Callithrix jacchus: one gene and its partner. The protein of the gene in region 1 purifies or fractionates together with the protein of each later gene. This does not show direct contact. Links are inferred from orthologs where the notes say so. Each region holds a gene or a part of one and is shown on either strand. Other genes may lie near its edges.

Evidence for each region.
Region 2: the proteins of NDUFAF3 (region 1) and NDUFA13 purify together in Homo sapiens (co-immunoprecipitation; 3 studies listed by BioGRID and IntAct, with this or other methods). This does not show direct contact. The link is inferred for Callithrix jacchus from reciprocal best matches to the Homo sapiens genes NDUFAF3 and NDUFA13.

What each region holds. Positions count from the first base shown.
Region 1 is NC_133516.1:31,650,898-31,654,025, forward strand, and holds NDUFAF3 (NADH dehydrogenase [ubiquinone] 1 alpha subcomplex assembly factor 3), read left to right. Parts: upstream 1-1,317; 5' UTR 1,318-1,341; coding exon 1,342-1,418; intron 1,419-1,540; coding exon 1,541-1,733; intron 1,734-1,894; coding exon 1,895-1,961; intron 1,962-2,069; coding exon 2,070-2,170; intron 2,171-2,249; coding exon 2,250-2,366; 3' UTR 2,367-2,480; downstream 2,481-3,128. UniProt on the Homo sapiens protein: Essential factor for the assembly of mitochondrial NADH:ubiquinone oxidoreductase complex (complex I).
Region 2 is NC_133523.1:18,190,429-18,194,854, forward strand, and holds the start of NDUFA13 (NADH dehydrogenase [ubiquinone] 1 alpha subcomplex subunit 13), read left to right. Parts: upstream 1-1,423; 5' UTR 1,424-1,437; coding exon 1,438-1,531; intron 1,532-4,426. Other genes in the region: TSSK6 (testis-specific serine/threonine-protein kinase 6), read right to left, coding at 1-622. UniProt on the Homo sapiens protein: Accessory subunit of the mitochondrial membrane respiratory chain NADH dehydrogenase (Complex I), that is believed not to be involved in catalysis. Complex I functions in the transfer of electrons from NADH to the respiratory chain.

The DNA of each region.
Region 1 (3,128 bases):
GTAGGCTGTGAAACCGAGTCTAGAGGGAACAAGACGCTCACCTGGGCCCCAGAACAATAGAAGGGGAGGTGGGGGCCTCCCCTGGGACCGGGTCCCGATCCGGATTAGATCCGCAGGGCAGGCTTAGCCCTGTTGGTCCCGCGAAGCCTGGGCCACTGGTGCGGTGACGGTGGTGGGGCGGGCTTCGGAATCCGCCAGGAGGGAAGCGCGCCCGTGGGGCTGGAGAGGAAGTAAACCCAAGCGTCCGCCTCGGGGACACCCCCGCGCTTGGGGCTCTTTGTCCAGTGACGCTGCCAGCGCCCAGAGCACCAGGGGCCGAAGGGGCCCACACAGCAGCGGCGGGACCCCCAGAAACCTATTACGACCGCCCCCCAGGAGACCCACCACCAGGCCCCGACTGTGCCGAGCTCCCTGCTCGCCCAGCCCCGCGAGTAGCGAACGCAACAATGTTCCCCTGGGGCCACGACAGAGCCAGCGTGCCGAGATACCCAATCCCCGCGCGGGCGCCAACGACTCTCGCGCCAGTAGGCCCTTGACTTGGTTCAAGACGGGGGACTGGGGACTCCCAGGACGAGAGCAGAGTGAACGAGGACAAGGTGATGCTCCACGCGTTTCTACTTCAAGTCTGGTCCGGTTCTGCCCGGTCTGGCCCAGCCGAGCAGCAACCCCAACACTACCACAGCTTGCCCTTCCGCTTGCTCTGGCTGCCCGCAGACTTGGAGCTATTTTAAGGCGAAACCACCTGGCCACGCCTCCTGGAGCACCCGATAAGCCAATCCACGCTAGGCCACGCCCCTCTAGCGCGCAACTGAGAGGCCAACGGTCGCGCGGGTGACGGTTAGGGCGGGACTTGCTTCGGTTGTGAGCCGGAGAAACTTGAGCTGGTTGCCCCGCCCACGGTGCCTGAAGCCCCAAAGGCTAGGATTAGGGGCTCGAAGTCTGGCATGGACCGCCTGGCCAGGTGTTCGGTTCACGATTAGGTGGGTGGCTGCCCCGCCTCGGGAGCGCGGCTTAATAGTTGAGAGCCGGGGGTCCAGGCCGCAACTGCGGCCCACGCAACGCCGAGGGCGGCCACACTACCAGGTGTTCCACTCCCCTGGGACTGTGGGCAAGGACCCGGGGCGGGGCGAGGGGCAGGTGATGACATCGGAGCTGCGCCGGAGGCCGGGGGACTTGTCCTCCTCCCAGGACAGATGATATTCGCCGGCTGGGCCGGCCGAGCTGTGCCGTGCACTCCGGGACGCAGGGGGCGCTGCACCCGCGCTGGGTCAGCCTCCGCAGGGCCCCGCCAACCCGGTAACAACCGGCGTCAGTGACGACTTCGCCGCGCGTCGATCAGCCATGGCCACCGCTCTTGCGCTACGCAGCTTGTACCGAGCGAGACCCTCGCTGCGCTGTCTGCCTGTTGAATTTTCCTGGTGAGCTGGACCCCTCACTGTTGACCATCCCACCCCCTAGGGCCGGCGACTGCCACCCCGCACCTTCTGGCTTCTCGGGCGGCCCGTCCCGGCCCTGTGCCCCTGACCCGTTCCCTCCGCAGGGCCCCGCGACGGGGGCATCGGCTCTCGCCAGCAGATGACGAACTGTATCAGCGGACGCACATCTCTTTGCTGCAACGCGAAGGCTTTCAGACCATGTACATCGACAGTTACAACAGCCGCGGCTTCATGATAAACGGAAACCGCGTGCTCGGGCCCTGCGCTCTGCTCCCGCATTCGTTGCTGCAATGGAACGTGAGTCCTGACCCGCTGTGAGGAAACTGAGGTCCAGAGTCACAGGTCCTCAGCCTGCTTGTGTCCCTGTAGACGTGGCTTTCCTCTATCTCCTGTAGTGGATGGAGGTGGGGAGAAGCTGCGTAGATTTGTCGTACTGAATAAATCATCTCCCTGCACAGGTGGGATCCCACCAGGACATCACCGAAGAGAGCTTTTCCCTCTTCTGGATGCTGGAGCCCCGGATAGGTACTGGGGACAGGGGAGGCAGGGCAGAGGTGCTTTGAGCCCTAAAAGGCAACCCCCACTCCAACCTCTCAACAGAATTGTAGACTAGTCTCATCCTCACTTCCCTAGAGATTGTTGTGGTGGGGACTGGAGACCGGACTGAGAGGCTGCAGTCCCGGGTGCTTCGAGCCATGAGGCAGCGGGGCATTGCTGTGGAAGTGCAGGACACGGTGAGTCCTATAACTGGGGCCTGCTGTGGGGAGTACAGGCCTGGCACTAGACAGGCTGATTCTGGCCTTTTCTTTGCAGCCCAATGCCTGTGCCACCTTCAACTTCTTGTGTAATGAAGGCCGAGTAACCGGAGCTGCTCTCATCCCTCCACCAGGAGGGACTTCACTCACATCTTTGGGCCAAGCTACTCAGTGAACCACCAGGAACTGACCTGCTGACTACACTCTGCCAGTTCCCAGTGCTTTCACCCTTATCTCCCCTTTGGCATTTATCTTGCTTACCAACATAATAATTTATACACTTCTCCCATTTTGTATCAGGTGTGTTGCTGGCCAGGTGCTGCTGGCTCACTGAGCTCTTGGAGAAAAATGTGAAGAAACCAAGGGGTCACTTTTTCATCTAGATTACTTAGGATAGTATGTTTACCTGTTCTAGACCTTGCTCACATGCAGATTTCAGAGGACCTCAATGCCTTTTCTCACAAAATCACTGATTTTTTTTTTTCTCTGAGACAGAGTCTCGCTCTGTCACCCAGGCTGGAGTGCAGTGGTATGATCTTGTCCCACTGCAACCTCCACCTCCTAGATTCAAGTGATTGTCCTGCCTCAGCCTCCTGTGTAGCTGGGATTACAGGCCCCCACCACTGCACCTAATTTTTTTTTTTTTTGACATGCTGTGGGGTGATTTCTGCTCACTGCAACCTCTGCCTCCCGCGTTCAGGTGATTCCCCTGCCTCAGCCTCCCAAGTAGCTGGACTAAAGGTGCATGTCACCACGCCCAGCTAATTTTTGTATTATTAGGGATAGGGTTTTAATATGTTGCCACCTGCCTCAGCCTCCCAAAGTGATTACAGGCAAGAGCCACCACACCTGGCCGAGAGCTATTTAGGTTAGGGAATATGTATATGTCTTGACCTGGTCCTATGTGGCCAAGTATGACTTAGTAGGATGCCCGGTG
Region 2 (4,426 bases), on another chromosome or scaffold:
CGGTGACCATGACGTAGAGCACGACGCCCATGCTCCACACGTCGTATTTCTTGGGGTCGTAGGGGATACCCAGGAGCACCTCCGGTGACGCGTAGGCGGCGGAGCCGCAGTAGGTGGTGCTCAGGTCTGGGTAACCGTGAGCTTGGCGGCCAAAGCCGAAGTCTGTGAGCTTGACGCGGCGCTCGTCCGGGCTCAGCAGCACGTTTTCGCACTTGAGGTCGCGGTGCACCAGGTGGTGATCGTGCAGGTAGCGCACGGCGCCGGCGATCTGCGTGAAGAGGTCACGAGCCTGCACTCCGGGGATGTGCCCGTTGCGCTGCACGGCCTGCAGTAGGTCGGTGGCGGCAGCTTCCATCACAATGTACAGCTTCCCGTTGCATACCTCAATGAACTCGAAGACGTGCACGATGTGAGGGTGCCGCACGCCCCGCAGGATGGACAGCTCTCGCGGCAGGAACTTGTTGACGAAGTCCGGGGGCGCCCGCCGCCGGTCCACCACCTTGATGGCCACGGTACCCTTGTACTTCTTGGACGTGGCCACCTTCACCTTGGAGTAGCTGCCCTCTCCAATTGTGCGGCCCAGCTTATAACCGAGTTCGCTCAGGAGTTTGTCACCCGACATGGTGGCGCCTGGGGCGCACGCGGAGCAGGAGGCGGCTGCTGTTGGGGGGCGGCCGGACTCCAATCTCGGGTCTAACCCATGGCGCTTGGCACCTGCATCCCCGCACCCCCATGTGCCCACTGCCGCTCCTTGGCCGCTGTTACGCCTTTTATTGCCCCGTAACAATTTTTGCCTTGTGAAGTGGCCTCGGGCGTCACTCCGCCTTGGGGTCCGGGACCCCGCCCTGGGGCCACCCTAGCCTCCCTGCTTTGTGACTCATAATTACCCTGAATGGTCAGTTTCCGATGAGAGGCCACTAGCGAGGGATACCCACCACCACCAGGGAGCAGAATCCGCTCCTGGGATTGGGTTGAGTCCGAAATCGAGCAGCAGCTGTTCCCCAACATCATGTACCCAGCCCGTGACTACGTCGAGCCCTGGGCTTCCGGTAGAGTCCCTAGCGAGGGCTAAAACGGGAAAAGGGGCCTTAACTGGGGCACCTGGCTCTAGGGAGCTCCGAGTTTCTGACTGGCCTACACAACACCCCAGAAGCAAAGTGAACGCGAGGGCCTTTAATGCAAGAACCAGGGGGTCCTAGCGACTGAGACACGCCCGGTCTGGGGGAAAGAAGGAATAATGACTCCTCAGCTGCAGCCTAGCTGCGCATTCGGACCCAGGGTCAGCAGTCAGAGCTCTCAGGCGCGGTCGAGTAGTTACACTAGTCCCCGCGGCTTCCCAGCGCTGCGGAAGATGATCTCAAATGATTCCGCCACACTCATCATGGCGGTGGCACATGTCACTTCCGCCCGGAGCCGGAAGTGCGGGATCCAGTGAGTATGGCGGCGTCGAAGGTGAAGCAGGACATGCCCCCGGCGGGGGGCTATGGGCCCATCGACTACAAACGGAACTTGCCGCGTCGAGGACTGTCAGGTCAGTATCTCTCTGCGTCGGGGTCTCAGAGTCTGGGCACTCGGGACTCAGGGGCGGGGTTCCGGGGACACAAGCGGGCCGCAGTTTCCCCGGCGGTGTGACCGGAGGCGGAGTCCGGAGATCCCCCATAGCTTCTATAATAATAACAGTAACTGCTGCAGTTTGTTGAGCGCTTTCCCAGCTCCGCCTCCTTCTCGTAACAGCCCAGGAGATTGGTCCCTTTGATTATTTACATTTTACCGTAGGTTAAACTGAGGCATAGCCTGCGCCCTGGCCCTCGGCCACCCTTGGGTTTCTCAGATGCGGAAACTGAGGCCCAAAAGAGGCCGCGACTCCCCAAGGCAAGGCTAAGGCCGCAACCTGGAACCTGGGGGTAATTTACAAGAAGTTCGATGCGGTGGTTCCCTGCAGGCAGCCCCGCGCCTGCAAAGTGTCCCAGCAATCCTTATTCTTAAACTTTTCAAATGTTTTAGGTAGCATGTTAAATTTTGTTATCGGGCTCAACACAGAAGAATGAAAAAGAGAACTTAAAAGGTGCCCATACTCAGTCCCCAGGTTTAACAGACAAATACAAACCTTTAAACATAATTTAAGGGTGAATACATACGTTACTTTTTTTTTTTTTTTTTTTTTTTTTGAGACAGGGTATCGTTCTGTTGCCCGGGCTAGAGTGATCTCGGCAACCTCCGCCCCTTGGGCTCAAGCCATCCTCCCACCTCAGCCTCCTGAGTAGCTGGGAGTATAAGCCTGCACCTGGCTTTTTGTATTTTCTGTAGAGATGGGATCTCAACAGCTTGCCCAGGCTGGCTTGAACTCCTGGGCTCAAGTGATACACCTCTATCGGCTTCCCAAACGGATGGGACTACAGGCACAGCCACCTTGCTCTGCGGAATGCATGTCTCTTAATTCATCAAACTTTACATTTAAATTACATGTCATCCACATTATGCTTCGATTAGAAAACAACAACAAAAAAATGAGCATGGTAATTTAAAAATGTAACAATTCAGACAGTAGAAAAGTCAGTGTGAAGTGAAAAGTCCTCCTCAGCTCCTTCTTGGTTTCCTTTTATTTATTTTATTTTATTTTTTTGAGACGGAGTTTCGCTCTTGTTACCCAGGCTGGAGTGCAATGGCACGATCTCGGCTCACTGCAACCTCCGCCTCCTGGGTTCAGGCAATTCTCCTGCCTCAGCCTCCTGAGTAGCTGGGATTACAGGCACGCACCACCATGCCCAGCTAATTTTTGTATTTTTAGTAGAGACGGGGTTTCACCTCGTTGACCAGGATGGTCTCAATCTCTTGACCTCGTGATCCGCCCACCTCGGCCTCCCAAAGTGCTGGGATTATAGGCGTGAGCTACAGCCGGTTTCCTTTTATTTTTTATAGAGACGGGTTCAGCTGTGTTGACCAGGCTGGTCTCAAACTCTTGGGCTCAAGTGATCCTCCAGCCTCAGCCTCCCAAAGTGCTGGAATTACAGGCATGAGTCACCGCGGCCAGCTTCCCTTTTTGTTTTTCTTGTATCCCAGAACTGAGATTGGCAGACTTTTTCTATAAAGGGCCAGATGACAAGTATTTTGGGTTTGGCTGGCCAGAATGGTTCAGTTACTGAGACAACCATTTACAAATGGAAAGTGTTCTTAGCCTGAGGGCTATACAAAAACAGGCTGCCTTTCAGCCAGATGCCTCATGCTTGGAATCCCCACACTTTGGGAGGCTGAGGCGGGAGGATGGCTTGAGCCCAGGAGTTTATGACCATTCTGGGCAACATAGTGAGACCCCCACCTCTACCAAAAATTAAAAAAAAAAAAAAAAAAAAAGAGGCTTCAGGCTGGATCTCGCCCACGAGTCCTGTCCCAGAACACATTGGAGGAATATAATGCATTCTGAGTTTTCTCATTTTTCTTTGTTTTTTTCTGAGACAGAGTCTGACTGTCACCCAGGCTGGAGTGCAGTGGCCCAATCTTGGCTCACTGCAGTCTTCACCTCCTGGGTTCAAGCTATTCTCCTGTCTCAGCCTCCTGAGTAGCTGGGACTACAGTTGCCTGCCACCATGCCTGGCTAGTTTTTGTATTTTTAGTAGAGACAGGGTTTCACCATATTGGTCAGGCTAGTCTCAAACTCCTGACCTCAGGTGATCCACCTGCCTCGGCCTCCTAAAGTGCTGGGATTACAGGTGGGAGCCATCACACCCAGGCTTTTATTTTATGTTTTATTTTTTGAGGCCAACTCTTGCTCTGTTGCCTAGGCTGGAGAGCAGTGGTACGATCTCATCTCACTGCAACCTCTGCCTCCCAGGTTCAAGTGATTCTCCTGCCTCAGCCTCCCTGGTAGCTGGGATTACAGATTACAGGTGCCTGCCACTGCGCCTGGCTAATTTTTTTTTTTTTTTTTGTAATGTTGGTAGAGACGGGGTTTCACCATGTTGACCAGGCTGGTCTCAAACTCCTGATCTCAGGTGATCCCCCAGCCTCAGCCTCCCAAAGTGCTGGGATTACAGGCATGAGCCACTGTGCCTGGCCAAGTCTCATTTTTCTCAGGTGTAACCTGGTCTACCCAGGTTAGCTATCTCAGGTGTGCAACACAGGGTCTCTCTCTAAATGTGCACCTGTGAGACCTGTAGCCAGACCAGGCCACAGAAGGACGCCAGCCCTGGGGGCTCCCTGAGCTCCCCACTTCTAGCATCTCTCTTTTTTTTTTTTTTTTTTTTTTTTGAGACTGAGTCTTGCTCAGTCACTCAAGCTGGAGTGCAGTGGTGCGATCTTAGCTCATTGCAACTTCTGCCTCCCGGGTTCAAGCAATTCTCTTGTCTCTGCTTCCCAAGTTGCTGGAATAACAGGTGTGCCCCACCATGCCTGGCTACTTTTTGTATTTTTAGTAGAAATGGGGTTTCAT